Linked DNA regions of Drosophila melanogaster. The protein of the gene in region 1 interacts with the protein of each later gene in a pairwise test. Each region holds a gene or a part of one and is shown in the gene's direction. Other genes may lie near its edges. The genes, in order: LysD, rho-4, CG4586 and Rbp9.

What was found.
Region 2: the proteins of LysD (region 1) and rho-4 interact in a two-hybrid assay, tested with the Drosophila melanogaster proteins (one large-scale study listed by BioGRID).
Region 3: the proteins of LysD (region 1) and CG4586 interact in a two-hybrid assay, tested with the Drosophila melanogaster proteins (one large-scale study listed by BioGRID).
Region 4: the proteins of LysD (region 1) and Rbp9 interact in a two-hybrid assay, tested with the Drosophila melanogaster proteins (one large-scale study listed by BioGRID).

Annotation. Positions count from the first base shown.
Region 1 is NT_037436.4:1,208,846-1,214,555, reverse strand, and holds LysD (lysozyme D), read left to right. Parts: upstream 1-3,359; 5' UTR 3,360-3,378; coding exon 3,379-3,801; 3' UTR 3,802-3,839; downstream 3,840-5,710. Other genes in the region: LysE (lysozyme E), read right to left, coding at 1,182-1,604. UniProt on the Drosophila melanogaster protein: Unlikely to play an active role in the humoral immune defense. May have a function in the digestion of bacteria in the food.
Region 2 is NC_004354.4:11,595,959-11,607,028, forward strand, and holds rho-4 (rhomboid-4), read left to right. Parts: upstream 1-3,879; 5' UTR 3,880-4,128; coding exon 4,129-4,368; intron 4,369-7,284; exon of another isoform or gene 7,285-7,378; coding exon of another isoform or gene 7,379-7,921; exon of another isoform or gene 7,922-7,936; intron 7,937-8,116; exon of another isoform or gene 8,117-8,236; intron 8,237-8,353; coding exon 8,354-8,715; intron 8,716-8,777; coding exon 8,778-9,120; intron 9,121-9,179; coding exon 9,180-9,488; 3' UTR 9,489-10,330; downstream 10,331-11,070. Other genes in the region: CG2533 (uncharacterized protein), read right to left, coding at 7,379-7,921; CG2247 (uncharacterized protein), read right to left, coding at 10,825-11,070.
Region 3 is NC_004354.4:6,966,848-6,974,862, forward strand, and holds CG4586 (uncharacterized protein), read left to right. Parts: upstream 1-3,070; 5' UTR 3,071-3,170; coding exon 3,171-4,129; intron 4,130-4,237; coding exon 4,238-5,312; 3' UTR 5,313-5,418; downstream 5,419-8,015. Other genes in the region: Setd3 (SET domain containing 3), read right to left, coding at 877-1,745; CG3040 (uncharacterized protein), read right to left, coding at 5,612-6,328; ogre (optic ganglion reduced), read right to left, coding at 7,583-7,805, 7,884-8,015.
Region 4 is NT_033779.5:2,951,223-2,959,273, forward strand, and holds the start of Rbp9 (RNA-binding protein 9), read left to right. Parts: upstream 1-3,539; 5' UTR 3,540-4,091; intron 4,092-4,157; 5' UTR 4,158-4,285; intron 4,286-5,688; exon of another isoform or gene 5,689-6,042; intron 6,043-7,924; exon of another isoform or gene 7,925-8,051. Other genes in the region: lilli (lilliputian), read left to right, coding at 1-160, 248-334, 418-583, 655-805, 867-1,003.

The DNA of each region.
Region 1 (5,710 bases):
GGAACATGTCGAGTCTCCAGATTAGATCGATGTTAGGAGAAACCAAATTCCCATGTCTTAATATATCATTGTCTTTGGGAATGGAGATTCAACAAATCTAGAGAGCCAGAAAAAATCTAAAATCAGTTTGCACAACGCGATATATCTTTTAATATATACCATATTCAAACTTCTAAACAATTGGCATCCACTTCATAATTTGATAAGATGTTCGGGTATTTTTTTACAGATCTTTTTCTTTGATATATTTAATGGTTATAATTGGTGTGCTATCGAAGGTTTAAAAAGGTTCTTCTTGTAACGAGAGACTTTAAGTTTTGAGTTGGACATTCGTTTTTAATGCTATTTCAATCCAAAGGTCTCAGTTTCTGTTTGGTTGTATCTGATTTGAAATGAAGATGAATTAAGGATGAATGAATCTTACTCTTTTCACTTTCTCTCAGCTGAAAATCCGAATTACACCCCAAGGCAGTGAGATTCCAATCGATAAATAATTGCAAAACGTGTCCACAATGTTTGTTCCATGGACACCTCGGGCTATTAGTAATTTGTATAAGCGATACAACATTATTGGTTTTGAAGCTTTTTAGTTGACTTTTGAAGTACACAAGACGGAAGTTTGGCTTTGGGACTCCTTACATTTAAATTTCAAAGTGTCATAGCCGCGTTCTGCACTCAAGAAACACCAGTTTTACTGGTTTTGGACGTACATAGTTGAGAAGACAAGTCCAAGCTCAATGGAATTATAATGAATATGCTTAGGTGAGGTTATTTTTGACTTTGACCCGCTGACAGTCGGCGCTTCGAGTTTACTTTCTTTTGGGAAAGAGTTGCGAACAGCAACTAGCTAATTTTATGGACAACCGATGCTTTTATCTTTGTTTGTTTTAAAAATGTTTATTTTTGTCGCATATATTAATGACTTTTTTTTGCCGAAGAGACGCTTTCAAGTTGATTAGCGAATTCCAATAAAATTCTATTCACAAACTTAGAAAGTGATCGGCTCATGCAAAATATGTCACACATTCATCAATAGTTAAGTTCATTTCTGTGTATCTTTTGATGTAAAGGAACACACGGTGAAATTGAAATAATTTTTGAATTTTGAAAAAGCAAAGATATAGAAAGTCTAAGGATGAATATTTTTTTGAGCTAAATTTTTATTCAGGGTCGAAATCGGTTTAGAAGCAGCCATCGATGGACGGCAACCATCCGCTGCAGTAGTGCCAGGTGGACCAGGCGGACCATCCCTGCTGGCTAAGGACCTTCTGGGCGCAACGAACGGAGTGGGTGATGTCGTCGGTCAAGAGGGCGTTGCAGCTCAATCCGCACTCGTTGTAGGAGAAGCGACCGCTGGGAGGAGCGCACCAGTAGTAGTTGTTGATCTGGAAGATTCCGTAGTCGTTGGAGCCGTTGTAGTTCTCAGGACCCACCACTCCGGTGCGGTAGGAGGACTCGTGCTCGGCAATACAGGCCCAACGAGCCAATTGGTCACGAGGAACGCCCAGGTTGGACATCTCGCGGGCCAGGGAGCAACGGTCCAAGGTGCGACCAAGAGCAGGAGCGGCCATAGCCAGGGCAACCAGAACGATGAAGGCCTTCATTTTGATTTGAATACCACAGTAAACTGATGGAGAGGTCCTCGCAATGGGCCCTTATATACCCTGAACCATCACCTTATTAAGAAGAACGTATAAGTACTCAACCGTGATAAGGTGATCACCATATTGCGGCTGTCAATCGCCCCTTCATTAGCCATGAAAATTCAGCGATAAGGACTTAGGTGTAGCGAATGGTTCCAAATCAGATACGTTACGCGACCTTATCAGCGAAGTTTGTTTACAGATTTCTTTAACGTTGGCCATTTTTAGTTCGACTGACTGTGATTACTTACTAAATGGGATGGAAAGCCGTTTTAAGAGGGCAAGAACAGCTATGGCGGCTTCTTGTACCATCTTTAAAGATTCGTGGCCATTATCCTAACAGTTCCCAAAAGTTCTCAAAGTTCGGCTGACAATTAGCGACAAAATTTATGGAAATGAGATTTAATTGGCCTGGGTCGATTGTCAGTTCCACAGGCACAAAGTTCCAAAGAGAACTCATGCATATGCAATGAGGTCTGGTCTGGTCGTCAGAAAATTCTTCTTGGTCAGAACTGTTAGCTGACACACTTCGGGGATAGAAAAGCTATTAGTTATACAGCGGCGATTCAATAAATCAGCAAAAAGTAAAAGTGATAAGCAGCATTCTCCGCCGACAAAAGAATCTACAACTCATCTCGCCGATGAGCGCCCCACTCGCTCACCAACCAGCATTCATTTATGAATTCATCTATAATTCATGGGACTCTAAGAAGGTCACGCTGGCAAGCTGGAGAGCTCCAACCACCTGAAACGACTTTGTCTTGGGGCCTCCCTTTCCTCCACAAAAATCTCGCAACTGGCGTCTTTCGAATGCCTCCACAGAAGCCTTTTGTCATTTGTCTTTGCTGTTAGCCACACGCGAAAGGTTAACAACTTTCTTGGCATTGCACAAATCAGTGGAAATCTGGGCTCCCAACCTGCCCCCACCAGACGCGCCTGGTTTTAGGCCCACTGGTAACCCCCAGGAGTACCGCTAAGAGCCCCTCCCCGCGGAGACGAATGGGGTTAATGTAACAGCCCGCAGTTTGCATACTTGTGGTCGGGTCGTTAGTCAGAGTCGGTACTTGAGTCTCAACTCCAACTCCATCCACTCCATCCGCTTCATCCACCGAGAAAGCAATGTGCAGCCAGGTTGTTGTGACTGTTGATGATGTGTGGTAGCCTTGGGGTCTTTGAAGAGCCAGTGGCTTGGCGATTGAACGCACGCCCGTTACAAGAGATGAACCAGCCCGCACCAAATAGAGTTCTTTTTAGCTCGCACTCTCTGTCCAGTTACAGCTCACTCAGGTGCACCAAAGTGGAGCTTCTGCCCACCAACGACTCGTAATTGCCCACTCCAAAAGCTAGCGGAGATGCTAACAAGGTTAATGGCTCGGATAGCCAACGTTTAAGTCAGAAAATTAATACCACTTGCTCTAAAAACCCAAGGGTCTTGCTGGCTGGGATGGGGCTAATCTACTTTTTACCTACGTCTATGCTTGCGAATCTTCAGGGAGCGGCTTGAGACCATTTGCTAGGTGCTGATAAGCGATGTAGATTGATGAGCTTGCGTCTGGCCATTTGCAATAGCCAGTTATTTACTGTCTCGTGTGCACTTGCGATAATATACATAAGTAGCTAAAGACTTCGCGGCGCACTTGAGATAATAACATTGTGAAGATCTACCAGTTAAGATAATACCGCCCTATAAAAGCACGGCCTACGCTCCCTCCCGTCATTAGTTTCAATTCGAATCATGAAGGCTTTCATCGTTCTGGTTGCCCTGGCCTGTGCCGCCCCAGCTTTCGGTCGCACCATGGACCGTTGCTCCCTGGCCCGCGAGATGTCCAACCTGGGCGTTCCTCGTGACCAATTGGCTCGTTGGGCCTGTATTGCCGAGCACGAGTCCTCCTACCGCACCGGAGTGGTTGGTCCCGAGAACTACAACGGCTCCAACGACTACGGAATCTTCCAGATCAACGACTACTACTGGTGCGCTCCTCCCAGCGGTCGCTTCTCCTACAACGAATGCGGATTGAGCTGCAACGCTCTCCTGACCGACGACATCACCCACTCCGTCCGTTGTGCCCAGAAGGTCCTCAGCCAGCAGGGATGGTCCGCCTGGTCCACCTGGCACTACTGCAGCGGATGGTTGCCGTCCATCGATGACTGCTTCTAAACTGATTTTGACCCCGATTAAAACGATTGCGCACCAGTAGTAGTCGTTGATCTGGAAGATTCCGTAGTCGTTGGAGCCGTTGTAGTTCTCAGGACCAACCACTCCGGTGCGGTAGGAGGACTCGTGCTCGGCAATGCAGGCTCACTTGTTCAGCTGGTCGCGGGGAACGCCCAGGTTGGACATCTCGCGGGCCAGGGAGCAACGGTCCATGGTGCGACCGAAAGCTGGGGCGGCACAGGCCAGGGCAACCAGAACGATGAAAGCCTTCATGATTCGAATTGAAACTGATGTGGGATTCCTGTGGACAGGGCGCTTTTATAGCCGGAAAATTATCTAGCCGTAGTGTTATCTGTGGAGTATTTTCACAGTATTGATGGGTGTGGGTAATCTGGACGTGTCGCAAAGAATCTCTTGGTAATCAGACCATATTGATAATTCCATTGATAATTCGAGTGAAGTATTCGATAATATGAATAAAGTCTTACGGAAATTCGTCGGTGAACCCCCTCGCAGTTGTTTTGACGTATTACAAGTTTCAAGTCCACCTGCTATGAATGGATGCCAATTGGTGGAAGCAGCTTTGGTGATACGGAGGACTGTTTGTTTGGCCAATTGCCCTTTTGATCTCAGATCTCAATTATGGCCCTTCAGCCTCTCGGCTCGGTGGCCCATTGGCTTCAATTAGTCTGGGTCTAACAAAGGCCCGAGGCTCAGGGCCCCTCCATGCCATTATTGCCCCAGTGCGGTTACCCAATACCAATCCCAGTGCCAGCAAGCAATTGCTTCATTTGTCAGTGCCCGTCAAGGTGTCCAACATCTGGTGATGGACTGACTAATGTGGCTGTGATGCAGTTTTGAAAGAAGGAAGTCTAAGTCCATAAGGAGGTGGCAAAAAGAATGGCTTTGCCACCGCAAAATCGCGTGAAGAAAGAAATTTCTTTTTCGGGTATGGCTGAAAGTAAGTTGGCCACTCGCTGGGTTGCGTGCAGCCATTAGCCACCTACTCGTACTCCTCCCTTTGGACTCCAGACCGTGGCCAATGCATAAGCTGTTTAACAATTGTTAAATCAGACCGGAACAGATTTTTCTGTAGTTCGGCACACAGTCGCCTTTTCATTTTTCAGTTTGGGCCCCGAGTATGACTGTTATTTATTTATTTATTTACAATCTAGTTTCTTTTGTGGGCTCTTCTTTGTCTTCTCGCGTCTGGACAAAGTGGCATTGTTACTCGGATTGGGGCTGCTCCGGAGACTTTGAAGTCTCGTGCCGCTGCCAATTCAATTTTCACTTCAATTTCCATGAGTACAGTTAAACGTAATTTGTTTTCATACTTTTATAACGCACACGCACCAGTCTTAACGACTTTTATGCCACCTCTTCGTTGGGTTCTTTGCTCGGAACGCTCGAGAGTTTCTATCCCAGTTGTTGATGGTGTGGGCGTCACAGTTCAATGTCAGAACTGCCCACACGGGGATTTACCTACACATCTAGATTTGGGCAGCAGTTAAAAGAAAGTCGGAGCCCATTAGCATGCGCATAAGGCAGAAAGAGCAGAAAGAGCAGATCCCATCTGGATCTTGACCAAGTGGGTCTTCCGAGCGAGTGGCTAACGAAAGCCTGACCCTCTGGCTTAGTTGGGTGAAAACTGGCTTACCTATTTCGCCTATCCCCTCTGGGCTCCTCCGCTCCTGCTCCGAAATCCAGGTACGAGTACAGCGAATTGACACGATTCCGAATTGGGCCACAACAGAACGTTCTCAAATTCGATGGCTAGCATCCACTACCACTCCAGCCGCATTGCACTTTGCGTCGTCATCGGGCAGAGGCATAAATTGAGGAGATTAGCGCGGAGCAAGAACCACTCTTATTATTATGGTAGATGCTGCAATAGGCCAGTTGGGGCCAGTTC
Region 2 (11,070 bases), on another chromosome or scaffold:
GCATCAGCAGCGGGACGTCGAGAATGGGCTCTATCCCACGATTTCGGACGGAATATGCCACATTATTATCGGATAGAATACAGGAAATGTAGGATTTAGGTAAGGGAATAATAAATTTCTAGTAGTTTTCAAGTCATTTTGGAGAGCACATAGTGGTTAATTCATGTACCATATTAATGCATGGGAAATTGGCGAAAAACAAACACTCAGCCGGCACTTCGCGGCACTCACACCTACACAATCATACGTGCGTGTGAATGAAGTTGCTTGTGCTTGTGGTGGTCTGCCCTGTTGCCGTCTTCTTCTCACCCTCGGTGAAAGTTGAGTTCGATGAATCATCTGAGCATCGATCCGCTATGGCGGCGATCTTCACTCTTCGCACTCACTCAACAGGGGGATTCTATCTACGAATCCATCAGTTTCGGCCGCTTCGATTCTAGTTTAGTTAGCACTCTCTTCTGGTTGATTTGGGCAGATTCATATATATATATGTATATAGGTATGTATGATCATACGATTAGCATACGAGATAAGCTGCCAATCCAATCCAAACACAAGGCGCTGGAAATCGGCATTCCATACACATTCCTACTCTCTTTTGGCTGGAAATCTTATCCGATTTCCCTCGCTTCAAACATCAAAATACTCTGTTTGGGTTTCCCGAGCGTTGATTCATTAATCTAGCCATGATATAACAACCAAAATAATATCAAGCTATAGAATATATTTTTTAAAGAAAAAAAATCAGTCTGCGGGCATCCAGTTCTCAGCGAGAACTTAGCGGCATCCAGCTAATGGAGGAGACAGTAGTGGCTTCGCCACAGCAGCCATGCCTTCGTCGTTCCGTACGTCTAGCGGGTAGGATGCGTTCGCAGAACTATAGAGCCATTCCCAAGGTTATGAATTTGCGGCGCAGCACGCGGCTGGCGGGAATCCGGGAACATGCCACCTCCGTTGTTGTGGAAAACGGGACGCGCCTTCAAAGTGCAGTCCAAAAGAAACGCACGCGAAAAGTGAAACCTGCGCCCAAGGCCTGGATGGCCAATAATACTAAATGTTTACTGGGCCATCTTAACAATGGAAACGTTAAGCAATTGCAGGAGATTCCAGGGATCGGTTCAAAGACCGCCTCTATTTTGGCCTTGCACAGGTCAGTTGACATACGTTCATTTGCGTTTTACCCAATAACCCTTAATCCTTAATCCACATTTTTCAGATCCCGCCTGGGTTGCTTCAAGAATCTAATTGAAGTCAAATCCCTGCCCATTTGGTCGGGAAATAAATGGAAACGATTTTCTCAAATTAACTGTCTTGACACTTGATACAATTACTAATTAAATAGCATTTTAATTCGAATATAGTATAGTGATTGTTATTTATGTGGCATATACTTTGATTTTACAACTATAGTAGGAGTAAAAAAAAAGGAGCCGGATATCCTTAAAGAAACAGTTATATATGTGATTTATTTTTTAAATAGGCTTACCTAGGATATATTATATAATATATTAAATTAACAAAACAAGTTGGCATTTTAAATTAAAGCACAAATTGATTGTTATAAAAGTATTAAACAAAAAAAACTAGTCAAAAAAGAAAAACTTTCAAATAAATGACTTATTAAAAGTGACCAAATAAATAATATTCATTAACTTTTTTTTTCAAATTTAACTCCCTTTCAGCGTTGCCAGATTGGGTTGCATGCGGGATTTGATTATTTTTATTCACAAATTCTGGGTAGAGGGCCACTTGTGCTGCTCCGGCAGCTGGTCACACTGTACAGTCGCGCAGTTTGGTTTCTTTGGTGCGAGAAGACGGTTGGTGTTGTTATTTTTTTTTTAGTTCGCTCCGCTGTTTTTAGGTGCTACGCGCTTTATGGCCCGCTCTTAATCTTATCGCAAATCAAATCAAACCGCGGCCAATGAGCACCGTAATTTCACTTTTTGGCTAACGGTAACGGCACTTCCGCTCTCCGAATTCGATATTCAAACAGTCGCATTCCATCGAAAAGCGAAACAAGAAGTGGCCGTAAAAATGACCGTGAAAACAGTGAATCGCCAGCAGAGCCAAACGCCCACCCAGCAACGGCAATTGCATCAGCAGCGGGACGTCGAGAATGGGCTCTATCCCACGATTTCGGACGGAATATGCCACATTATTATCGGATAGAATACAGGAAATGTAGGATTTAGGTAAGGGAATAATAAATTTCTAGTAGTTTTCAAGTCATTTTGGAGAGCACATAGTGGTTAATTCATGCACCATATTAATGCATGGGAAATTGGCGAAAAACAAACACTCAGCCGGCACTTCGCGGCACTCACACCTACACAATCATACGTGCGTGTGAATGAAGTTGCTTGTGCTTGTGGTGGTCTGCCCTGTTGCCGTCTTCTTCTCACCCTCGGTGAAAGTTGAGTTCAATGAATCATCTGAGCATCGATCCGCTATGGCGGCGATCTTCACTCTTCGCACTCACTCAACAGGGGGATTCTATCTACGAATCCATCAGTTTCGGCCGCTTCGATTCTAGTTTAGTTAGCACTCTCTTCTGGTTGATTTGGGCAGATTCATATATATATATGTATATAGGTATGTATGATCATACGATTAGCATACGAGATAAGCTGCCAATCCAATCCAAACACAAGGCGCTGGAAATCGGCATTCCATACACATTCCTACTCTCTTTTGGCTGGAAATCTTATCCGATTTCCCTCGCTTCAAACATCAAAATACTCTGTTTGGGTTTCCCGAGCGTTGATTCATTAATCTAGCCATGATATAACAACCAAAATAATATCAAGCTATAGAATATATTTTTTAAAGAAAAAAAATCAGTCTGCGGGCATCCAGTTCTCAGCGAGAACTTAGCGGCATCCAGCTAATGGAGGAGACAGTAGTGGCTTCGCCACAGCAGCCATGCCTTCGTCGTTCCGTACGTCTAGCGGGTAGGATGCGTTCGCAGAACTATAGAGCCATTCCCAAGGTTATGAATTTGCGGCGCAGCACGCGGCTGGCGGGAATCCGGGAACATGCCACCTCCGTTGTTGTGGAAAACGGGACGCGCCTTCAAAGTGCAGTCCAAAAGAAACGCACGCGAAAAGTGAAACCTGCGCCCAAGGCCTGGATGGCCAATAATACTAAATGTTTACTGGGCCATCTTAACAATGGAAACGTTAAGCAATTGCAGGAGATTCCAGGGATCGGTTCAAAGACCGCCTCTATTTTGGCCGTGCACAGGTCAGTTGACATACGTTCATTTGCGTTTTACCCAATAACCCTTAATCCTTAATCCACATTTTTCAGATCCCGCCTGGGTTGCTTCAAGAATCTAATTGAAGTCAAATCCCTGCCCATTTGGTCGGGAAATAAATGGAAACGATTTTCTCAAATTAACTGTCTTGACACTTGATACAATTACTAATTAAATAGCATTTTAATTCGAATATAGTATAGTGATTGTTATTTATGTGGCATATACTTTGATTTTACAACTATAGTAGGAGTAAAAAAAAAGGAGCCGGATATCCTTAAAGAAACAGTTATATATGTGATTTATTTTTTAAATAGGCTTACCTAGGATATATTATATAATATATTAAATTAACAAAACAAGTTGGCATTTTAAATTAAAGCACAAATTGATTGTTATAAAAGTATTAAACAAAAAAAACTAGTCAAAAAAGAAAAACTTTCAAATAAATGACTTATTAAAAGTGACCAAATAAATAATATTCATTAACTTTTTTTTTCAAATTTAACTCCCTTTCAGCGTTGCCAGATTGGGTTGCATGCGGGATTTGATTATTTTTATGCACAAATTCTGGGTAGAGAGCCACTTGTGCTGCTCCGGCAGCTGGTCACACTGTACAGTCGCGCAGTTTGGTTTCTTTGGTGCGAGAAGACGGTTGGTGTTGTTATTTTTTTTTTTAGTTCGCTCCGCTGTTTTTAGGTGCTACGCGCTTTATGGCCCGCTCTTAATCTTATCGCAAATCAAATCAAACCGCGGCCAATGAGCACCGTAATTTCACTTTTTGGCTAACGGTAACGGCACTTCCGCTCTCCGAATTCGATATTCAAACAGTCGCATTCCATCGAAAAGCGAAACAAGAAGTGGCCGCAAAAATGCCCGTGAAAACAGTGAATCGCCAGCAGAGCCAAACGCCCGCCCAACAACTGCAATTGCAGCAGCAGCGGGACGTCGAGAATGGGCTCTATCCCACGATTCCGGCCGAGCGACGATCGCCCCCCTCGCGTCCGCAAACGCTGCGACAGGACACCATCGATATGGAGGAAATACCGCTCAATCAGACGAACAGCCAGGAGCCAGAGGATCGGCGCAAAATGCACGAGATATTTGACAAGGTATGTAGGACTTATAATACTCGCAATTCCCTTCCCCAGCACAAGTGGCAGCTCCTCCTAAGTATTAGATCTTTTCTGGTTTGTAGAGCCAGCTAACCAAGTAGTAGCCATGGTAACTATACCTATAAAGGTATTACTGTTCACACGGTGTTACAACTTAGCACTATATCTTTAAAGTAAATCTATGATGATTTAACGTTGATTTAATAGTTATGCCACATTATTATCGGATAGAATACAGGAAATGTAGGATTTAGGTAAGGGAATAATAAATTTCTATTAGTTTTCAAGTCATTTTGGAGAGCACATAGTGGTTAATTCATTAGTTAGAACCAGCTACGACTAATTATCCCATTTAAACTGGCTGGTGGTAGGCAACAGAAGGTTAATGCTGAGATCTTGTGAAATTGCACCATATTAATGCATGGGAAATTCGCGAAAAACAGAAGAACGACTGTAATTAAAACACACAGCCGGCACTTCGCGGCACTCACACACACACACTCATACGTGCGTGTGAATGAAGTTGCTTGTGCTTGTGTGGTCGGCCCTGTTGCCGTCTTCTTCTCACCCTCGGTGAAAGTTGAGTTCGATGAATCATCTGAGCATCGATCCGCTATGGCGGCGCTCTTCACTCTTCGCACTCTCCCAAGAAAACCCCACCTTTAACCCTTCAATGGGCCGGCGGGCGAAAACCGACACGATCAGATGCTTTTGTTTGCAAACATGCCAGTGGAACAAACTTAAGGTATACATTATTAAAAAAAAACCTTGTATCTTGTGGTGATTAATAAATACGTGAGATTTGATTCCCGTTTAACATTAATGGGTTAAGAATTCGATTATAGTGCCTAAATAATCAACTGCTATATGTACTTATATCATACAAGCATAATTACACTTTTCGGTGTATTTAACCCATCACCGCTTGTCTGTCAGTCAATTTTGCACTTTCGCAGAATTCCGTATCACATTTTATAAGCTTTTTTTCGCTGCAGTTTGTTTTCTTAAAGTAGAAAAATCGTGTGTGCTGCAAAAAAAAATGGGGGGGAGGGTGGTTGCCTACTGTTGGGGGACTGAGTTTTCTTATCGTGACAGAGGGTTGGGGGAAAAAGACCAGCAAAAAAAGAAGAAGAAAAACCGGTTATAAATTATTGTTTGTTCGCTTTGAGTTCTGCCTTTGTTGTTGTTGTTGCTCTTGCTTTATTCTTGGTGGCGTTAGTCACTTAACCCCCAACTGACACCCACCGCCCACCTGTTTGCCCGAGTGTTACCATTATCAATTTAACAATTTGTGGATTTCGTCTTTTTTAATTCTACCAGTGCGATTGCCTCAACGTGCAACGTCCTCTTGATTCACCATTTGTTTATAGCCATATAGAGTGTGTAGCGTTCATATCGCGTTCAATGTACCCCGGCAACAAGGGGATTCTATCTACGAATCCATCAGTTTTGGCCGCTTCGATTCCAGTTTAGTTAGCACTCTCTCCTGGTTGATTTGGACAGATACGTATATATGTATGTATATAGGTATTCTAACCATACGATTAGCATACAAGATGAGCTGCCAATCCAATCCAAACACATTCGATGCCGCTGGAAATCGGCATTCCAGACACATTCCTATTCTCTTTTGGCTGGAAATCTTATCTGAATTCCCTCGCTACAAACATTCAAGTGGCCAAAATACTCTGCTTGGGTTTTCCGAGCGTTGATTCAATAATCTAGCCATGATATAACAACCAAAATAATAGCAAGCTATAGAACATATTTTGTCAAAAAAAAAAAAATCACCAATCTCAACCAACATTATTCGTTGGAAAGTTCAACTTGAACCCGGAGGGGACTGTATCATTTTGATATTTTTGAAATATCATGTTTGATATGTCACAGATAACAGTCTTTCTGATATGGGAAAATAGCAGATAGATGACCATTTTCGTTGATATTTTTATTCATTGAGCTGTGCAAAAGAGTAAATCTTAAGTTGTCTGTTGGCTAATATAGGAAAGTTTTGGAACTTCAGGTGTTCCAATGGTTTTACAATTAACTTTTTCCGAAAACCATATTTTTTACAAACTGACCAAGTGGCTTTCGTGTGTTCCGAACACACTTGACGACTATGACTAAGTCCCAATCCCCGCGAGACTCCGTTACCGCTGGCAGCTTATCGCCTGGTTTTGATAATAACCAACTTTTTGGTTTTGTTTTTTCCCCCTGTTCTGTTTTATTTTAAGAACACCTAAAGGTGTAAAATATTAGTTTACGACTGGAAAGGAGGATACATATTTATGTGCATGTACATACATGGGCACCTATCTAATTGTCTATAGTATATGCCAATGTCTTTCCTCTTTTTTTTTGCGTGAATCTAACTTTTAAGTGCGAGCGTTGACTTTTCGCTGGGTTTTCTTTGTTATCCCAGTTCCTAGTTATTTACTTTACTAAATACCTTAACCATACTTAAAAGGTCAGTGCGCATAGCTTACCTATGACAAATGTTTTTTATGATCGAAAACCGAGAATACAAAGCGATAAGACAGTAACATCCATATAGGGACTTTCTATTGGCGAAATGGCAATTGAGAATTTCGAACTTCTGAAAGGAATAGGTGACAAATGTTTTTTTTTTAGCAAAATCCTTTTGTATTTACCAATGGGGATTATTGACGTTTTGCAAAAACCATCAGTTGCGTTTAGTTCACAATAACTTTGGATGCCTTTGTGCAACTTCATGTGACTTTGTTTCGATTTGTTTTCGATTAGCCCCGTTTTGGATTTCTAGTTTCTCGTCTCGATCTGTGGCATTTATTCCTGCCCATTTATGGCCACTTTTTGGTCCGACAGCGTTCGCGGCTGTGTTGCAAGTGCTGATGGTGATGCAATCAAAAAGGAGGAAAATCACTCAACAAACATAATAATATGTGGGTACTTGTTTATTTGTGAACTCATGCTGCAGGTTTGAGTGTGTTACGCTATGATTTAGAATAGTTCCTCGGGTGAATGAGATTCATTCGGAGTCTAAGGGAAGGTCAAAGAAAGTGGAATTTTGGCTCTTGGGGGCGAGGCAACTGGTGGCCTGCTCCTCCTCTGGCGCATCCACAGCATCGTGCCAATCCTGGGAATCGTGCTCCTCCTGCTCCTTCTGATCCGTTAGCTGGAGCAGACGCATCCGCAAGCGCTGCTCTTCCAGTTGAATGACTGAAGGCCTAGGAGCAGCCACTTCGCGAATAAGCGATGGCATGGCGGTCGTCCAGTTTGGCAGCAGAGTTAACCCCGTTGCCCTGCCCTGCCGCTCCAGACGCTGCAACTGGCGGCGCTCCATGGCCATCAGTTCCCGCTTGGCCCGGGCCCGCACCTGGTCGTCGCTGGTCGTGGTGCAGAGACTCAGGGCCGCAAAGATGCCGGCCATGCCCAGGTAGAGAACCAGTACGGTCACAATGCCGGACGATTCCTGCAGCGGCTCCTCCTCCTCCGCGACGTCGCATGTGGGCGTCGGTGTCCAGCCAAGCCAAGAGGTCACGTGGCGGGTCATCTCCATCAGTTGCGACATCGTTCTCGGTTGAATCTTGAGGCGAAGATACAAATATATATAATATATGTATGGTTTATACTAAATAATTATGTCATTAACCGATGACACCAAGCAAATGGTAGTTTCTTTACTTCCTTCTAGGGAAATGTATTCAGTAGTTTATTTTTATTACAGCCTAGTTTTAAAAGGTAGGATGAATGCGCTGATATGTACCCAATTGTAATCGGTGTTTCCAAGATGTTGTATTTCAAGATTTTTTGGATTCGGTGCGGGCCTGCCCGACCACTCGGAATTTCAGCTAGGTACTGAGTGTTCGAATCCCTAATGTTTTCGAACCCCCATGACGCTTTAGTATATGGCCTACTGTGTTTAAATGTTGACTTACCCAGATTCTATGTGTGAGCTTAATCATGATGACTAACCAACCATATGTATATGCCTCTCACACAGCACGACTCTGACAGAGATGGGCTGATCAACACGCACGAGCTGAAGGAACTGATCTCGGATGGCTATTGCCGGGACATTCCCGCCTACATCGCCGACCAGATCCTGAAGCGCAGCGATCAGGATAACGACGGCCACCTGGACTTCGAGGAATTCTATGCGATGTCCCTGCGCCACAAGTGGATGGTGCGCAACATGCTGACCCGCTACTGTCGCTACGTTGTGCCGCCACCGAAGCCCTTAGAGGGCGATGAGCCCGACGGTGCCTACGAGAAGCAAATGTCCATCTGCCCGCCGCCGCTCACCATGGTGCTCTTCTCGATTATCGAGATAATCATGTTCCTCGTGGACGTCATACATTTCCAGTGAGTAGTGATGGTACAATTGGTTGTATATGATAATAACACTAGTAATCTGCTATGTTCAGGGACGATCCCAACTACCAGGATCGCATAGGCGAGAGCACAAGTGGACCAGCGGCCACCCTGTTCATCTACAATCCGTACAAGCGCTATGAGGGATGGCGCTTTGTTAGCTACATGTTCGTTCACGTGGGCATCATGCATCTGATGATGAACCTGATTATCCAGATCTTTCTGGGCATCGCCCTGGAGCTGGTGCATCACTGGTGGCGCGTGGGTCTGGTCTACCTGGCTGGCGTGTTAGCCGGTTCCATGGGCACCTCGCTAACCAGTCCTCGCATCTTTCTAGCGGGCGCATCGGGTGGAGTATACGCACTGATCACAGCCCACATTGCCACGATAATTATGGTAAGTCTTTGTTATACTATTTGATATTATTCCATAATTACCTTATGGTCGCCAAACAGAACTACTCGGAAATGGAGTACGCCATTGTCCAGCTGCTGGCCTTTCTGGTCTTCTGCTTCACCGACTTGGGTACCTCGGTGTACCGCCACTTGACCGACCAGCACGATCAGATTGGCTATGTGGCGCATTTGTCCGGTGCCGTCGCCGGTTTGCTGGTGGGGATCGGTGTGCTGCGCAATTTGGAGGTGCGGCGATGGGAGCGCATTCTCTGGTGGGTCGCCGTCATCGTTTACTTTGCCCTCATGACCACTGGCATCATCATACACGTGTTTGTTCCCGACTACTTCCCAAAACAGGAGTACAACTAGCCCCATCACTAGCTCTAGCCCTAGCCCTAACCCTTAACCATGTCCAAAGTGCACTTCGATATTGAGCCGAGGTTGCAGTACGCACAGTACTATATATAGGATTTCTTCTGACCATGTGCCTATGCCAGCTGCAAAAATAATTTATTTTTTTACAACTTGCCATGTCAGCTTCATTCCCAATCCGAAAGTGGTGCAAGCATGTCGTACGTATTTTTATATATTTATATACATACATACATATATAGTAACGTAATTATGCCTTCCTCATAATTCTCTTATACAAAAGACCGACCGCGGTGGTCCGCCGTATCGATTCCTTGTTACTCGATATTGCGCATCCACTTAAGCCGTAACCAAAACCCAGACACTAGGCAGGCACATACATAGCCACGTAGCACATAAGAATTCTTTTTCATATGTATGCACAAAAGCATAAGCAAGAAGCGCTCTCGCGCAGATCAAGTAAACAACCCACTAACCAAGTACATTTAAGATTTTCTCACACCATTTGTTTCAGTCTTAAGCTGATATTCAATCAATAAAAACGCAAAGCGAATTCATTCGAAGTTTTTATTCATTTCGGTTCAAATACGGATCATTTATTCGACTCAAAAGCAAAAATTATTTTACTATATGTATTCTCGATCCACATGACGCGACGCGGCGCAACGAAATGTCGACGGAGAACAAAACTCAGAGCTGCATTTGTATTACACATTTCGTTGACATTTTTTTTTTTTCAAGAAAAACGAGAAATATCTTTAAACAAAGTGTACTGTATATTTTTGGAGATTTATTATTAAGATCTTATATATTTAAATGTAATAAAAACAATGTCTTTGTACGAAGAAGATGGGTGTTTTGCGTATGATTTTTATTTTTTTAATTGTGTCATTCATGTTCAAATGTAATGAGTACAACTTTGATCTTGCCTTCGTAGGACCAGCAAGACCAGGCAGAACTACTTACACGCAATCTTACATAAGTACTATATTTTTATAGTGAAATTTATAGTTCACTTCCCAAAACAGTGGTTTAAGTCGATTTAGTATGATCCAGCAATTAACCCATTTATTTATTATGTTTACATGTTTTTCTTTTCTGTTCATTACAAGCTGTCAATTTGTAAGCAGCGTCGCTTGATTGCATCGTTCACAGCTTGGGACAAAGTAATGTACTGAATGTCGTTCAAAGATATTGTTGAGAGTGTGTTTAAATGTGGTGTTCGGAGGTGATGCTTCTCGAGAAGACTCAGTCTTGGCATTCTCTGCTACTGGGAGGGCTTATATATGAGCTAACTTATGGCACCTAGGAATAACTAGTGCGTTAAACGTTCTTACTTGTTTTTCAACTGTGGCCGTTTGAGGAAGGTAACCATGGTGCTGTTGAACATGTTCACCTTAACAAACGTAACAAATGTTGTTGGTGCCACATCGCGCAGTATCATCAGCAAGCGCTTGGCGGGCAGAAAGGTAACGCATTCCGTGTGGTCCGTTTCAATGCAACGGTCATCGGGAGCACAATAATTAAGGTCATCGTCCAGCGGAATTCCCGGTACAGGGCGCTCCACGGGGATCACATC
Region 3 (8,015 bases), on another chromosome or scaffold:
AAACACCTGTATTTATTTCGTAGTGCAGGCACTTTATTTTTGATTTGATTTTCGTTACCACCCCCGCCCCTCTCACTAGGCAGTAGAACATCTGGCGACAGTATATATATATATATATATATATTTATATATATAAATATAATTATATATTTAAGCACGCTCAAATATGTATGTAAATAAGTTTCAATTTGATTTTTTTGAGAAATAAAATGTAGAACAAATTGTGGCAAAGATTTCAAGCATTTCGAAAGCACTTGACTAACCGCATGACTCGCTGGGGTTTTCGACCACAACCGAAGATTGGTGTCGAAATCGCGGCACTATAAATACAGAAGCGAGTGGAGAACCAGAACCACAACCACAACCAGACCCATCCCAGTGCACCATGACCCAGCCGTCGCAAGTGGAAGCGGATCCGTAAATAGATCGTAGATCTTCGGCAAAACAATGCGATCACAATGCCAGACGGGAAGGTCAACAATGGTCGGGCAATCTGGCCATATGCATCTACTCTCGCTTTAAAACAAACAGCACCAGCTGTAAGTGAACATGTAATTTATGGCCAGTGGGACAACTGGCAGATTCAGAGGCCTCTCTGCAGCAAAAACAAGCCCAAACTAAACCGAAAAACACACTTAGGGAAAGATCAACACGAGGGCAGGATTTAAAAATGGAATTCCGGAAAGGTATACAATATTTCTATTTCTAGGCCAACTGAAAAGATCTTCAGAGCAGAAAACTTGGCCTTAAGCCATCTTTTTAGCACAGAATCATATTTCTTCTTAAACTTAGTAGAACAAACTTTAAAAGTAGCGATATTTTTTTAAGGCACCTTTAGCACCTTTATTGCAATCCCAAATCTCAATCGAAACTCACCTGTATAGCTTGTAGCAGAGTCCGTGCTGCGTGAAAAAGAGGCCTCTTTCGCCCGGATGGCTCCTGTTCCCGGTGCTCGGCTCAGTCATGGTGTGGGCGTACTTGTAGAGGAAGGCGTACTGCTTGGCGATGACGCGACACTGACGCATTGCCAGAGCGGCTGCAGCGGTGCCCCGGAGGAGCTCCATCTGCTTGGTGGTAAAGTATAGCACGGTGTTGTATTTGGCAGGCAGAACATCAATGTAGGGCCGCCACTCGCTGAACTCGCCACGGATCTTCTCGATGACCAGATCATAGGCCAGGTTCAAGTGGGTGGCCTGCGTCATTTTGCCAAATAGGCGGCAATCGGAGTTGTTTTCCTCGGATAAGATGAGCTTCCGGGGCACGCTGAGCACCAGCTCATCCTTGGCCAACGGTCGGGTGGCCCGCAGACCCAGTTGGTAGCCGGGAAAGATGGCTATCTCCAGTCCCTCACTGTGAACTCCGCCATCTTTGGCCCACGCACTGAACGCCTCCACTTTGGCCAGACGGGTCTGATCGTCGGGGGAATCGCTGATCTGCGGACACACTGCTTGGCTGAGTGGCTCCTCCAGGATCATGATTTGTTTGAGCAGCTCCTGTAGCTGCCCGTACTGCTTCCATTCCTCGTTGGGATTCGCCGGTTGCTTTTCCACCAAGTCAAGCAGTTCCTCGACGAGCTTGTTTAGTTGGCTCCTCTTTTTGCCGTTTAAACTGGGCAACGAACTGGCCGCCTGCTGGTCCTCAAAATCCTCGACTGCTGTGCCGGATGCGGATGCAGTTACTCCGTTTTGTTGTGGCTGCTGTTGCTGCTGTTTTGTCTTCTTGTTGCGCTTCGTGTTCTTACCCATGGCGGTGCCGTTGGTGGGAGCGAGAGAGAAAGACAGAGAGAGAGGAAGACAGAAAGCTAAGCGGTACCGGCGGCCCAAAACAACAACAGCCAAATAAGGAAAATAAAGTCGAGAAATCTGCACGCGGGCGATCAGCTGGCCGGCAGTGTGGCCATTCGTCGGGCGCCACTAAATTACTCCGACAATTGGTCACACATTCGACGAGCTTTTATGCTGAAAACTTTTTAATAGGGGTACTCCTAAGCTTTTTTTTATTACAAAACTTATGTTTTCTTGTAAAATAAATTGTAATTCACGTTGCATTTTTGGCACATCAATAATATTATAATAATTACTCTTTATAGTTATTAAAATGGCCAGTGTTTTTTTATATTTTATGTTGCATTCTTGAAGAGCGGGAAATTTAAATTGAGAATTTGTCCTAAAATCCAGGTTGCAGAAGCTCGTATGTATAATAATATATTTATTTATTTATATAAATAAAATCGCTCTTTCCATGTCTTTTAGTTTCTATTTATAAACAATTTGACAATGGCCCATAGGGTTATCTTAGATTTTCTAAACGTCATCCAATTGAGAAACGTTATGTTGATAACAAGAAATCCACGAAATAAAAATGTTATTGTACGAAAAAGAAATAATTGTTTGTTGAGCTTTGTGGGTTTTTGCAAAACAAAAACAACAAGAAATATTTACGATTTTCTTATCTACGGTAAAAAAAACTTGAACTAAAAAACTAGGAGATAATGCCGCTCATCAGATGTTTACGCACTTTGTGCCATTTTTGGCTAGGGTGGACCAACACACAAATCAGCGTTTGAGTTAATAGTAAGAAACAAATTCCGTCCAAATATACAACCTAGGATACGAAATCTAAAACATGATAAGTGCATCTTGTAAGAAAGACGCAGTTTGAGAAACTTTCGACAAATACGGAATATGGTCCACCCTAAGGCGCTCAAGCAATTTGAGAGTGGCTCAGTTCTCAGTTCAGTGACTCCAATGCAGCAACAACGGCGGTTGGAGCACCAGCGGGCAGAGCGCGAAAGAGAGGCAGTGGTGGGGCTCCAAAGGCGTAGGCAGGATGGACCATCCAAAGGGGTTCCAGATCGCCTCTTCTGTATAAGTTATCCATAAATAGCTTATACACTGCATCCTTTATGAGTATAATGTGGTAAATGTATAAAGAATCCCGGTATATTAATTGGCAACTCATCTTTAATTTCGGATCACTGATAACCAACCATATTCCCCTGCTATCCCCGCCTTTGGTGACCTGGCTGCCATGTTTCGAGCTGCAGAACTGTTTCTTCCAGCCACCAACTTCTCAGTGCAATCGAGTCGTTCGAGCAGAGAAGTTGGGAAATCCCGTAGAAAAGTAAAACTCTAGGAAAAGAGAGATCGGGAAGGAGAGATAGAGCGATCATGTCTGTGAATGCGGATCTGCAGAGAGAGCGGGCGGCGGCCACCTTGGACAGCGAGGACTTTGCCCGCTGGTGGGCGGGTGGCTCTGGGCAGCTGGAGGAGCGCCGCGCCCTGGAAAGGCGTTTCTATGAGGATCCCGACTTCGCGGAGCCAGTGCATCCGAGCTGTCTGTCATACAAGGAGCGCTACGAACAGACCGTGGCCCGATCCACACGCTTCCTGGCCAAACTGCGCCAATGGCAGCGGGAGAAGCAGCCACAACTTCAGCTTAGTGTGAATATGCTGAGGGACTTTCGGCTGCTACTCTCCGGATCCCTGGGCACGGGCCTCTTCCAGCAGAGCTTCCCCCTTCGGGTGCATTTCTCCATGTTCATGACCACCTTGCTGAGCCAGGGAACCGAGGAGCAGCAGGCCCAGTGGCTCAATCGATCCTGGCACATGGACGGCGTCCTGGGCACCTATGCGCAAACGGAGCTGGGTCACGGCACCTTTGTCCGGGGCCTGGAAACCCGAGCCGACTACGATCCCATCACGCAGGAATTCATCCTGAACACCCCAACGCAAAGTTCATACAAGTGGTGGCCCGGCGGACTTGGTAATACCGCCAATGTGGCCATTGTGCTGGCCCAGCTATATGTGAAGGGCAAGCATTATGGCTTGCAATCATTTGTGGTGAGGATCAGGGACGAGAGGACACACGAACCGTTGACTGGAGTCGATGTGGGCGATATAGGACCTCGCCTGGGTGGCAATGGCGTTAACAACGGCTTTCTGGGACTCCGCGACGTGCGGATACCGCGCAATCAAATGCTGATGAAGAACGCCCAAGTCCTGACCGACGGCACCTTCGTCCAGGGTAGACCTCCGCTGCTGCTCTACGGCACAATGGTCTATGTGCGGGTAATTACCGTGAAGGATGTGCTCTTTGGACTGCTCCAGGCTGCCACCATTGCCACCAGGTGATTATATAGTTTCTGGGGATTATGTTTATCATAGCTGTTATTAAGCCCATAAAACACATTCAGCTCACCCAGGGTTCTTTAGATAATAATTATCATTATCTTTAGGTATTCCGTGGTGCGTCGCCAGAGCCGGATTAACAGCGATCAGCCGGAGGTCTCTGTTTTGGATCACATCACACAGCAGGCAAAGATTCTACCGCAAATTGCTCGAGGAGTGTCCTATCGCCTGGTATCCGATTGGCTGTGGCGCTTCTACGAGGACGTACTCCGCCAACTGGAGGATGAAAGCACGAAAGGACGCAACTCCCTGCCGGAGCTGCACGCCCTGAGCTGCTGCCTCAAGGCGGTGGCCACCGACGAGGCCAGCGAGGGAGTTGATCTGCTGCGCAAGAGTTGCGGTGGCCACGGATTCCTTTCCTCGGCGAATTTCGATAGCATCTATGGTCTGACCGCCGCCACATACACCTACGAGGGAGAGTACACAGTACTCCTGCTCCAGACAGCTCGTTTCCTCGTCCGGCAGTATGCGGATAGCTTAAAACGCAAGGTGCTGCCCTCCAGTGTCTCCTATTTGAGGGATACAGCCCGTTTGATTTGGGGCAAGAATCTGGTTGCGAATTGTGTGCGAGCGCTGGAGATTTCAGCCATGGAGCAGGTGCGTGATGCTTGGCAGACCCAGAAGATGCACCAATCCGGCAAGGTGAGTCCCGAGATGGCCAGCAATCTGGCTGGAAGGCAGCTCACCTCGGCTGCCATAGCCCATGCTCACGCATTCTTCACACGCAATGCACTGGAGCAAGTGGAAGCACTTCGAAAGAAGGGCGATCTTAGCCCGAATGTCTCACTCATCTTGGGCCAACTGGTTGAGCTTTTCGTCATCGATACATTCCTGCGACAGTCGGGATGCGTGCTGCGTTGGAACAACGGCATCACTGGCACCCAACTGCGCTTCGTGGAGCGTCGCTTTGAGGAGCTGCTGGCCAAGCTGCGACCCAATGCGGTGGCTCTGGTGGATGGATTCGATTTTCACGATCGTGTCCTGGGCTCCACGCTGGGGTGTCACGATGGCCGGGTGTACGAGCGTCTCATGGAGGAGGCACGCCGAAATCCGATCAACCAGGAGCCGGTCAACTCGTCCTTCCACAACCACTTGTTGCCCATGATGCGGGGAAAGCTGTGATGTGGGGCTGGTCTTTTGTTTTCTACATACGTATATGTTATTCACTAATTTTTGTATTGAAGTTGAATCATAACATTTTTTTTTAATAAAGGAAATAGGATTTCGCAATTGTTTGTTATTTTGCACTTACCATTTTCAAACTAACTTACTTGCTCGCCCTTGTTAAAGTTGTCTTTTTCCGATTTATTCGTATCGTTTTACACATTACACATATTGAATTAAGCTATTAAATTAGTTTACTCGGATAAATAAAGGCTGGGGTACACACAAAAAAAAAAGGGATTTGATCTGAATCGAGTCTAGAACATCTTCTTCCTGACCGCCGTATACCGCTCCATGTAGACATCGTAGCCATCGAGATCGGTGAACTGTTTCGAGTTGAACAGATTGCCGTCGACGGCCAGGTTGCAGATTTTCGAGTCCTTGAGGATCTTGGGTGTAAAGGCCGCTGCCTGAAGGCAGTTCTCCTCGAGCCGCAGTGTCTTCAGCTTGGGACAATCGGCTACTTCCTCCGCCAGCGAGGATATTTGGTTCTGGTTAAGGTTCAGTTCGGTCACAAACAGTCCGCCCACATCGGCGGGCACATCGGTGATCTTGTTCCTGGACAGGTCCAGGACATCCAGCTGCTTCAGACCGCACAGCATGGAGGGGAACTCCTTCAGCTGATTGTTGCTCAGATTCACGGTCTTCAGGTGCGTGCAATTGGCCAGGGTTTTGGGCAGCCTTGTCAGCATATTGTCCATCAGCAACAGCACCTCCAGCTTGGCCAGTTCGCCCACCACCTCGTTGAGTTCCACCAGTCGATTTCCGCTTAGATTGAGGTGCTTGAGTAGCGTCAGCTTGCCCAGTTCGTCGGGCACACGTTCGAAGCGATTCTCGGAGAGATCCAGGGTTTTCAGGACATTCGGGTAGGCCCTTAGCTGCAGTGGGAATTCTTGCAGCCGCTGCAAGGATATCTTCAGGATTCCCGTCTTCTGGGCCGTCTCCAGTTGTTGTTTTATCTGTTTATTGCCCATTGTAGCAGGGGTCTCTCCAGGGAATTCAAGGTTTTTCGCCTAATTAAGAGGTGGGCGGGTCGACTGATGACAAATCCAGATCTCACACTCTTCCTGCGCGGTATGTGTGCTCCGCTATCCTCGTTGTGCTTGCGTTTTACAGCAAACAAAACACTTTAACTAGCCAATTTAATTTTTATTTATTTATTTCTCTCCTGAGAAATATACCAGATGTGCAGAAAATGTGCCTAAAAATGCCATTGATTCGATGACAAAATGGATTAGAACTCAGATAGATATCTAGTGATGACGCAACCCTAAAGATTTAGCCGAGACAACTATTTCAAACACTGAAAACAATTTCATACTCTTTGGCTTAGGTAGTTACGATAAGTAAGCTTTTTATGCCCAAAACAAAATACAAAAAGTTTATTGTAAAATCGAACATAAACATGTCATATTTTTGCCAGTTGTAAAAAGTTTTTTATTTCATATTATATTTTAGTTTTATATAAAACCTTAGCAATTCTCGCCTAAAACTACACAATAAACTTAACATAGCGCATTTAATTCTCATTTGTATCCCCAAAAAAACTGTATGTGTAATGCAAGCAATATTATGTTATGAAAGACTCAAAGCAATATTTATTTGTTATTATATTTTCGGTTGGTTCCGAAGCGTTCAAACATTACTCCATATTATGCAAAAATAGTATCTCTTCATATTTTTCTGGGGGTCTACTATCTTTTTTTTAGCGATGTTTCCTATTTATACATAAGAACTAGGTATTAAATTAGATTTTATAATTAGGAAAAAAAAGATTTTGTCTGCAGAAAAAAACACAAGGAAAATCTCATCATTTTTTTTTTTTTTGTTTTGTTTGTTTGTCTTGTTATCATTGATGGAAAATCAAAAATAAAAAAAAAATTAAAATAAAAGAATTGTCTTTTCTGCCAAGCGATTCGAGTTGTGATCATTGATTAATCCATGTGTATGATAGCTTTTGGCTTGGGTCAGGGGATGGGAATTGGGTTCGTTTTTGGAAGGGGTTAAAAGGTCAGGGCTTAATCACAGAACTACCAACGGGGCGTTGGGGGCGTGGCCCTGTCCTGGTCTCGAGTTTCAACTAAGTAGTATGATTTGTGCTAAATAAAAATAAAAAATCCAAAACAGAATTCGGAATTTCGGGTTTCGGACAAAATGATGGGGACTAATAGGCAGGGTGATTGATATATCGAACGGCATATCGGGGGGCATCATCTCGTACATCTGGTCTACTTGGCACGGTCGTGCTTGGAGGGCTCCACCTGCTTGGCAAACTCGCTCATCACGTCCTTGTAGATGACCGGATCAAGATTGCGACCCAGCATATAGATTAGCCACCAGTCACCGATGTCCAGTTTGCGGGACAGCGAGCGACAGATCTCCATCGGAATCATGCGATTGCTGGCGTTCAGGAGGCGGGGTCGGAATTTCGGCATAAAGATAATGCAGCCACTGCAACAAATAAATAAAAAAAAGTGAATAAAAAACTATATATTCGCTTTTAGAAATTTGCAAACTTTCGAAACTAACCGGAACACTATCAGTCCGATGAGCAGGACGAGCAGGATCCAGAACCAGAACCAGATGAACACGTACGTCTTCTCGTTCACAATGTTCAGCGGCAGGATGCAGAGTGAGTCGTGCTTCTGCAGCGAACCAGAG
Region 4 (8,051 bases), on another chromosome or scaffold:
ATCGGAAGCATGCCGCCGACTTGGAGCGCGACTCCTTCAACCAGGTGACATTGTACCTGGAGGCCGTTGTCTACTTCTTGCTGACCGCCGATGCCATGGAGCGCTGCAGCTCCGAGCAGGCCACCAACACCATGTACAAGGATACCCTGTCGCTAATTAAGTGAGTAAAGTGTGCCAACAAATGTGCGCCCACGGAGACGGAAGTGGTCCGAGCAGAACTCACCAATAACATGCCATCAACTTGCAGGTTTATCTCCACTAAGTTTCGTCCCTACCAGCAGCAGTCAACGACCAACATTCAGCACGAAACGCACAACAAAGTGGCCATTCTCAGGTAGATCATTACAATTAACTTAACTCAAGTCGAAGTACACTTGCTAATGACACTTTTCATTTTTCCCCAATCTCGTCGAGCAGTTTGCGCTGCCAGTCGTTGATATCATTAAAGCTTTATAAGCTGAGAAGAAAGGATTGTCGGGCCATTATCAACAGTCTAACAGATTTCTTTCGCGTTGGCAGGGGGGACATTGCCAACGGCAACACGCCGTCCTCCATATCACCATCGAACTCGGTGGGCTCGCAGGTGAGTCTCTCAGTTGGCAGCTACTCATGTGCGGATTTCGTTTATTCATTGCGGCTTTTCTCTGTTTTCAGGGCTCCGGTTCGAATACGCCGCCAGGCAGAATAGTGCCTCCAGATATACACAATATGCTGTGCAAGCAGAATGAGTTTCTGAGCTATCTAAATAGCGCTCACGAGTTGTGGGATCAAGCCGATCGATTGGTGCGCACAGGCAATCATATAGGTGAGTTGTTTAGGCGTCCGCCTAATGATATATATTAATGATCAATGTCTGAATCCATTAGATTTCATCCGAGAACTGGATCACGAGAACGGCCCGCTGACGCTGCATAGCACCATGCACGAGGTGTTCCGGTACGTGCAGGCGGGTCTCAAGACGCTCAGGGATGCCGTGTCGCATCCGACGCATCAGTCGCAGTAGCGACAGCGGCAATATCAACCGCAAACGCAACGGAAGCGTTGGCGGAGGCGGAGGCGAAGGCGGAGACGGAAGCACCACCAAACGTGTCTAAATGAAAGTCAGGCCAAATTAGCAACTATTATCTACTACAAGCTACTAATTTAGTTAGTCAAGATGAGGAGGAGGAGTAACGAATGAAATGAAATCGAAACCAACAACCTTCCAACAGAACGATTATAACCACAACAAAAACAACACAAAAATTTGATTTGTTAATACTTTATAATTTATATATGTATGTAATTGTATATGCACACCATTTACTTATTTCCTTATGCTCAATTTTCGATTGTTTAAGCATGTTAAGCTTTATATTTATGCCTAGTTTTAATTGATATTACCACAAAGAAAAACAAAAACACACATTAAAAGTTATATTAGCTCTACGTCTAGTCTGTAAGCTCAAAAACGAAAACCCAACCAGCCCACCCCCCCCCCCCCCCGCCCACCCTACCCCCTTTTCCTGTTACCCAAAAACATAAACATTTTAGTTGAATTTTGTTTTCGTATGCGTACAGTAAGGAAGATGAACGGCTTTTTAAATTGTTTAAGTTTTAGTTAATTTTACTTTGCAGCCTTGGTAAAGAAAAATGTTAGCAAATATAATTATACATATTATGGCATATATAAAGAAAAGTTATAGTTATAAATTCTTTATAATATTTCTATATGAATTATGTTTAACGCAACTATTTTATTAATTTTAAATTAATTTTTAAAAAGCAATCACAACACGTTTTTAGAACAAAATACATGAATGAAAACAATATATATTTATATTAATATATATTTCAAATATATACACGCAATTGTATTTCTCTTTTGGTTTTATTTCTTTCAACCCATCCATAAAACCACCTCATCCACAGTCTATTCCCAACATAATTCATAAATTCATAATGGGTGCCTCAAAACTCTCACACAGACGCAACAACTAATAGTGCATTAGTAGACTTAAACGAGTTAAAAATCAATCGAAATAGACTTGCCCTCGAAATAGTTATATAAGCTGTACATATAGCCGCCAGTATACAAGAAATATATTTTTAAATGCCAAAAAGTGAGCGCTGTAAACTACTTTAAGCCAACTTCAATCAGCAGAATTTGAAAATGAGTGGGGATTGGGATAGGATGGTACGATGGTAGGATGGTAGGATTCTGGAATACATTCATATATTGACCGAGTTGAGCAGCCAGCATTTTCTTGTTGACTTTTATTTTGGCATGTACGAAATCGAAACTACGAAAATCAAAGCAAAAATGTAACGAAAAACAAAACGGAAAGCAAAACAAAGTAAGAAAGAATATTAAATTAATATTAGTAATGGTTCTGGGGAAACAAGGCATTCGCTCGCATTCGACAAATGAAACCGAAAACAAACATTTAAATTGTAGACAAATTTTAAGTTATCACTAAAATGACGAGTGCCGAATGCCGATGGAGAATTTGCGCAACTTTATTGTGCAGTGCAACTACATAAGTGTAATTATTATAAATTGGTACACATGCATACATATGTATTGTTAATTATTAAAACGATGTAAATAATACAATTACGTAGGCGGGAAGACACGGACACAAACATGCATATAATTAAAGTAAGCATAATTACATGCCTAACTATAAATAACTATATATTGGTATATATAAAGATATATAATATATATATATTTTTATATATATACACGATGAATTAAACTAAACAACGTAGAAATCATAGTTAAATTTTTTCGAAGTGACAAGATTAACGTGCAGCAATAAGCAACCGACAAGAACAACAACAACAACCACAACAACAACAAAAACAAACGAAACGCGCCTAGTAATAGTTAATAATTCTATTTTGTTAAGCGTTATTGTAGTGAAACGAAACAAAAGAAAACCAAACAAAAACAAAAACAAAACCGAACCGACAGATCGAACAGCAAAACCAACAGAATTAAGTTTTAAGCTGGACTTTGGAACGTGGAAAGCGAGTAGAAAACCAAAATGAATGCAAAACATGTTGTTCATTGACAAAGCTAAAAGTAAATATATATTTTGTACAAATATAATTAAATTCAGCCGCAGCTAAAACCAAGTACACTTATTAAAGTTTAAGCAACAACAGAACAACAACCAATTTAATATGCAATTACCGTAACAGTAGTTGATAAATCGAACGAATAAAACATCAAAAATTGTAACATTTACATAACTGCCTTTTGTGTCTTGCTTTTTTTTAACACTATGGATGGTTGTAATAACGGAAGGAGATGCTTTAAAAATTCAGTGTGACCAGGCAAGGTTATAAATTCATGTCCATCTGTTTCAAACAAAAGCTGGAAATTCTTAACTCCTGTTCCTTAGGGGAACACTTGAAGCCGAATGCAATTAAAACGATTTCTTATCTTGATAATGCTCATGACGAAAGGAAGTTTCGATCAATACGAGAAAAACTTTTTGCATGATTAATCGATCAGTGCTGGTAAGTCGCCAAAGTAGTCTGTCAGTGTTAGCAACTCAACGTGTTACTTGCTGTGCTTTCGACAGCGTGGTGTCGATTCTTCGAATTCATCGTTTACAACTTCATCATAAGGAATGCAAAATCAAAGCGATTTTGTGGGTGAGATCCCCAGGTACACTCGCAACAAGAGAAGGCAATATCAGCGCCAACGACGTAAGGCACATCCGCAAATTCCAGGGGTATTAACAGGAGGACCAGAGCCAGAGAAAGTCAACAATTGTCAGAGAAAGAGACCCATCAAGGGCCACGTGTATGACTCCACCAGCGAGGAGGATATGACCATCAAACGTAAGCATACAGACGCCTCGTGGTACAAGGTTCAAGTTAAATGCGAGAATGTGTCCCCGAACATCGAGGAGAAGCACGGCAACAAGATCAAGCAGCCTTCCTTAGCGTGGAACAACAACAGGAAGCCCAATAAAGGGGATCTACCACAACCACCGCTATCTTGGCTTTATCCCAACCAATCTAGGGGCTTTTATGACAACCAAAGCTGGAACTCTGGCGGCTCACGTCAGAATCAGTCGCAGTGGGAAGCACCAGTAAGCTGAAAATCAATTATTCATTTAAATAATTAAATTAACCGAATTTTATATGCACATCCGCAGAGGCAAGAACATTCATCTTCAGCTCAAGGCCGTAGTGCCAGGAACCCATATCTGAACCCTATTCAGGAATCCTGCAATGGGCGTTATATTATTGAACATCAATGGAACACGACCATTATCCATCACAAGTAAGGTAAGGCAACAAGAATGAATTACATAAAAACCTATTCGCTAAAGAAGATTTAACACAGCCACTTATTGTACACAAATCTATAGTATGTCATTTATAACTACATCGTGGGGATTTTCCCGATTTCCCAAACACAGGACATTTTCATGAAAGGGCCTTACATGTCTGATCAGTTAGGTAAGGGTTAAAAGCGCAACATTTTGAGATGCATTGGGCCCCAACACCTATGCAAAGTGAGTGCATGCATGTGGGTTGCTGTTATTGTGATGGTGTGCAAGCAGCAACAAAACAAACCGCATATAAATAAGGAGAGCGAGGTATTGTTGCATACTTGTAGGCAGCGGGATGGGGGTGGAGCTGTTCTGTTCCATCCGCTCGCAAAGTTCAATGGTCTTTTGACACAAATGATGATGATGTCAAGTTGAGCTCGTCCTACGCTCCTGCCTTGCTCTCTCTCTCTCTGATGCTCTTTCTAGCTTGCGCTCTTGGGTTTAAAGCCCCTCTGGCACCTTCCCTTCAGTCAGCAGCCGTTGTTGTTGTTGCTTAAGTGTTTGTTTGGGTGCCGTGCTGGCTCTCTCAGCTCCAACAACAGCAATGCGGCCGGCTTACGAGCCCCGGCTCTCTTCGCCTCTTTTGGAGCTCGCTCTTTGCCGAACGGAGAACCTACCGCAATTCGTTTCGTGTTCACGGCTGCATTTCCTTGTTTATGTTTTGCGAAGCCAAATGTAGGGTACATCGGTTAAGTGCCGAGCCAGGAGAAAGAGAGAGCGAGCGAACGAGTACCGTTATGTTGCCGGAGCTGTTGCAGGCTGCGCAACTTGCGGCTGCAGCTTTTTATTATTTGCCTTCTTCTTCGCGACCGTTACTTCTCGCATGGTACAATGGTGCAACTGTGCCCAAGCTGTATATTGAAAATAAAACAGCACTTCTGCATCTCACTGATGTGCAATGGCATTTAAGCTTATCCTGAAACGTGTCAGGTGCATTTACTTATTTCTATACATTTACAAATTGTTGCATAGGTTGTCTTTTGAGTTTAGTTGGGACCGAAATCCATTATTTCAAATAAAATAGAACAACATTTTGGATATAACAATACATATTTAGCATATGTCAGGTCAGTCTAATATTATTATCTATATTTGCAACACAAGAAAGTAGAAGGGTTAAAGTTCGCGCTCAATGTTTGAATTTGTCCCACTGTGCATGCGAGAGCAAAACTACGCAGTTATGCTGTGCATTCGCCACCGCCCCCCTCCCGCCCTCTGCAGGGCCGTGCTCAACTGTACGCCAATTGGAGGAGAGGAGGAGCTCTGCCGCTGGGGCCGCGGACTGCGGCGCGGCAGCGCTGTCACGGGTCCTGGCTGCAGTTATCCTGGCGGCAATCGAACACTTTAATCATTTAGTTCTTGCACTCTCCGGCAGCAAGTTGTGTTTTTTGATTCTCGTCGTATTGTCGTCGTTTCTGAATTGTTGTATATCGGTATCAAAATACACACATCTTGCATACTCACGCAACTACGCCCACATACACATATACATGTACGTGTGTCCAATTGCACGTAGTGTGGAATCCGAATCAGTATCGAAATCAGTTCGAAAACCCTTAGTGTGTGCGTGCTCAATTCAGTTTTCAAATTGAAACTACATCATTTGCAACGAAGAACATTTTCCAGTCCCAGTTCCAGAACCATTTTCTTTCGAGTCGAGTTGGGAAAATCGGTGTTGTATGCTTTGCGGCGCTGGCGAATAAATGTAAGCGAACAGAGAAGAATGCTACGGATATGTAGTTACAGTTACAGTTACACCATTTTATTTGCAAAAGTGCCCACACCCAAAGTCGATTTTTCGCCTGCATTCGTATGTGTGCGAATAGTAAAACGGAGCTCAATGGGGCGGCTTGCAGTCGGCGAAATCTCAATTTCTCTACACTCTGATATATATTTGCCGCCTACACACACACACAAGCACACAGAAGTCCATGCAGCTGCGTTTCGTGCAGCGCCGGCATCGCAGTTTTCATTTCGCTGCCTGCAGCCGCCATTTAACCTAAAAAACGCCGCACAGGAGCGGTTTCTTCAGAGGGAGTCGATCCCCAAAAATAATGATTTATTGACCTGTTTTCCATATAAAAGTTTCCTTAAAGCTAGTTCGTACAAATGTGGCACAAAGTTCCCTTGATTAGATGTAGATTTTCAAATGGTAGAAGTTCGAGAACTTGTTACAAGACTTGAAATTTTCTAGTGCAATTATCGGATTTATTTATTTTAAAAGAAATTCTTTAATTTCCGTAGTAGGATTTCTGAGAGATTATTGGAGCCCCTGATCTCGGAGGGACCCCTTCGAGACGGCCCTGCTTAGGCAGCGCAGTTGCCGTCGACGACGACGCCAGCTTGCAGTTAAGCTCGCTCTCTGGCTCCCATTCTCTCTCTGTGGCGCTCAATAGCCATTGCATATCTTGTGGCGCGCTCAGCTGACTGCTGCGCTTTCGCTGCAGCCTGCGCTCTCACTGTCTCTCCCGCTCTATCTCTCCGCCCATATATCCTGTTTATTTTTGCCGCACCCAAATCAAATGCATACGGCCTCAGCCGCCGTCCTTATAAGTTCCTCTACTTTGCTGACCCGTTACTTGTCCAGAACTCCTTCGCTCGCTCTCTCTCTCTGTCTCTCCTTTCATCCGCTGCCTTTGCCTTTGCCAAGGTGTGTCACTTTTTTGTTTTGTTCCTGCCCTTTGAACACTTCTTCCCCATTCTTCCAGTATTCGTAAGTGTGAGTGCGTGTGTGTGTGTGTGTCTGCATAGGTATGTGCCATCAAATCCATCAATTAGCCGGAAACAATTTCCAACTATTTATGAATGAAAATTAATGGTTGCGCCCCCTTATTTTGGGGGCGTGAATCGAAAGAGGAGGAAAGAGGAAGCTTCCTTCGGTTGACTGAAAACAGAAAAGGACTTCAGGAGCTACCAAAAAGTTTAAGAAATTTAAAGGAGTGTCAGATATTCTTAAAGAGTGTAAAAAAACTGATTCTATATTGATGCAGTCTATGAGGTCTAATATATGGTACAGTTTTTTAATTAACATATTAATGTACACATTAGTTTACGGTTAATTATTAAATAGTAGATAGGACAAACGCACTTACCATGACCGGAAGGCGGCTTATTTGAGCAACTGCTTTGCAAAACAGATTTCCCCGATTATGCGCAGCTGTCTTTGGAACCAGAAATGCATTCGTAACTTTGGAGTCAAGCAGATACTCTGTCGAATTTCGATTTAAAAGAAGTTCCCATAACGCAATTATAGAAATACTGTGCACGTAAGTGTGTATGTTTGCGCAAAATCCAATTATAAATTACCTCCGCCGTCGAGCATCTGAGGAATCCACCTTGCGGATATATGTGCTCGTGCTGTAGGAAAACATATAGCCGTGTAAGTTTGATCCATTCCCATCGGGTGGCTTTCTCTTCCCCGAGCGGGCGAAGAGCGCTCGACAATGACGAATTCTGTTTCTGGCCAAGAAGCGGCGCTCTCTTGTAGCTCTTGGGGCTCTGCTCTCCCGATTCTTGGACATGAGGCAGCAGTACGATTGCCCTCGTCGGTGGGGCATAAAAATAATTTCCACGCCGCTCGGCAAATCAGTTTATTTCTGTTCTGTTGAGTTGCAGGAACGCGTTCTTTTCTACTTTCCGTTCGGTTTTATTTCCTTATTATTATTGTTATTACGAATTAGTTTCACGTTTCGGTTTGGCTTGGTTTTTCATTTT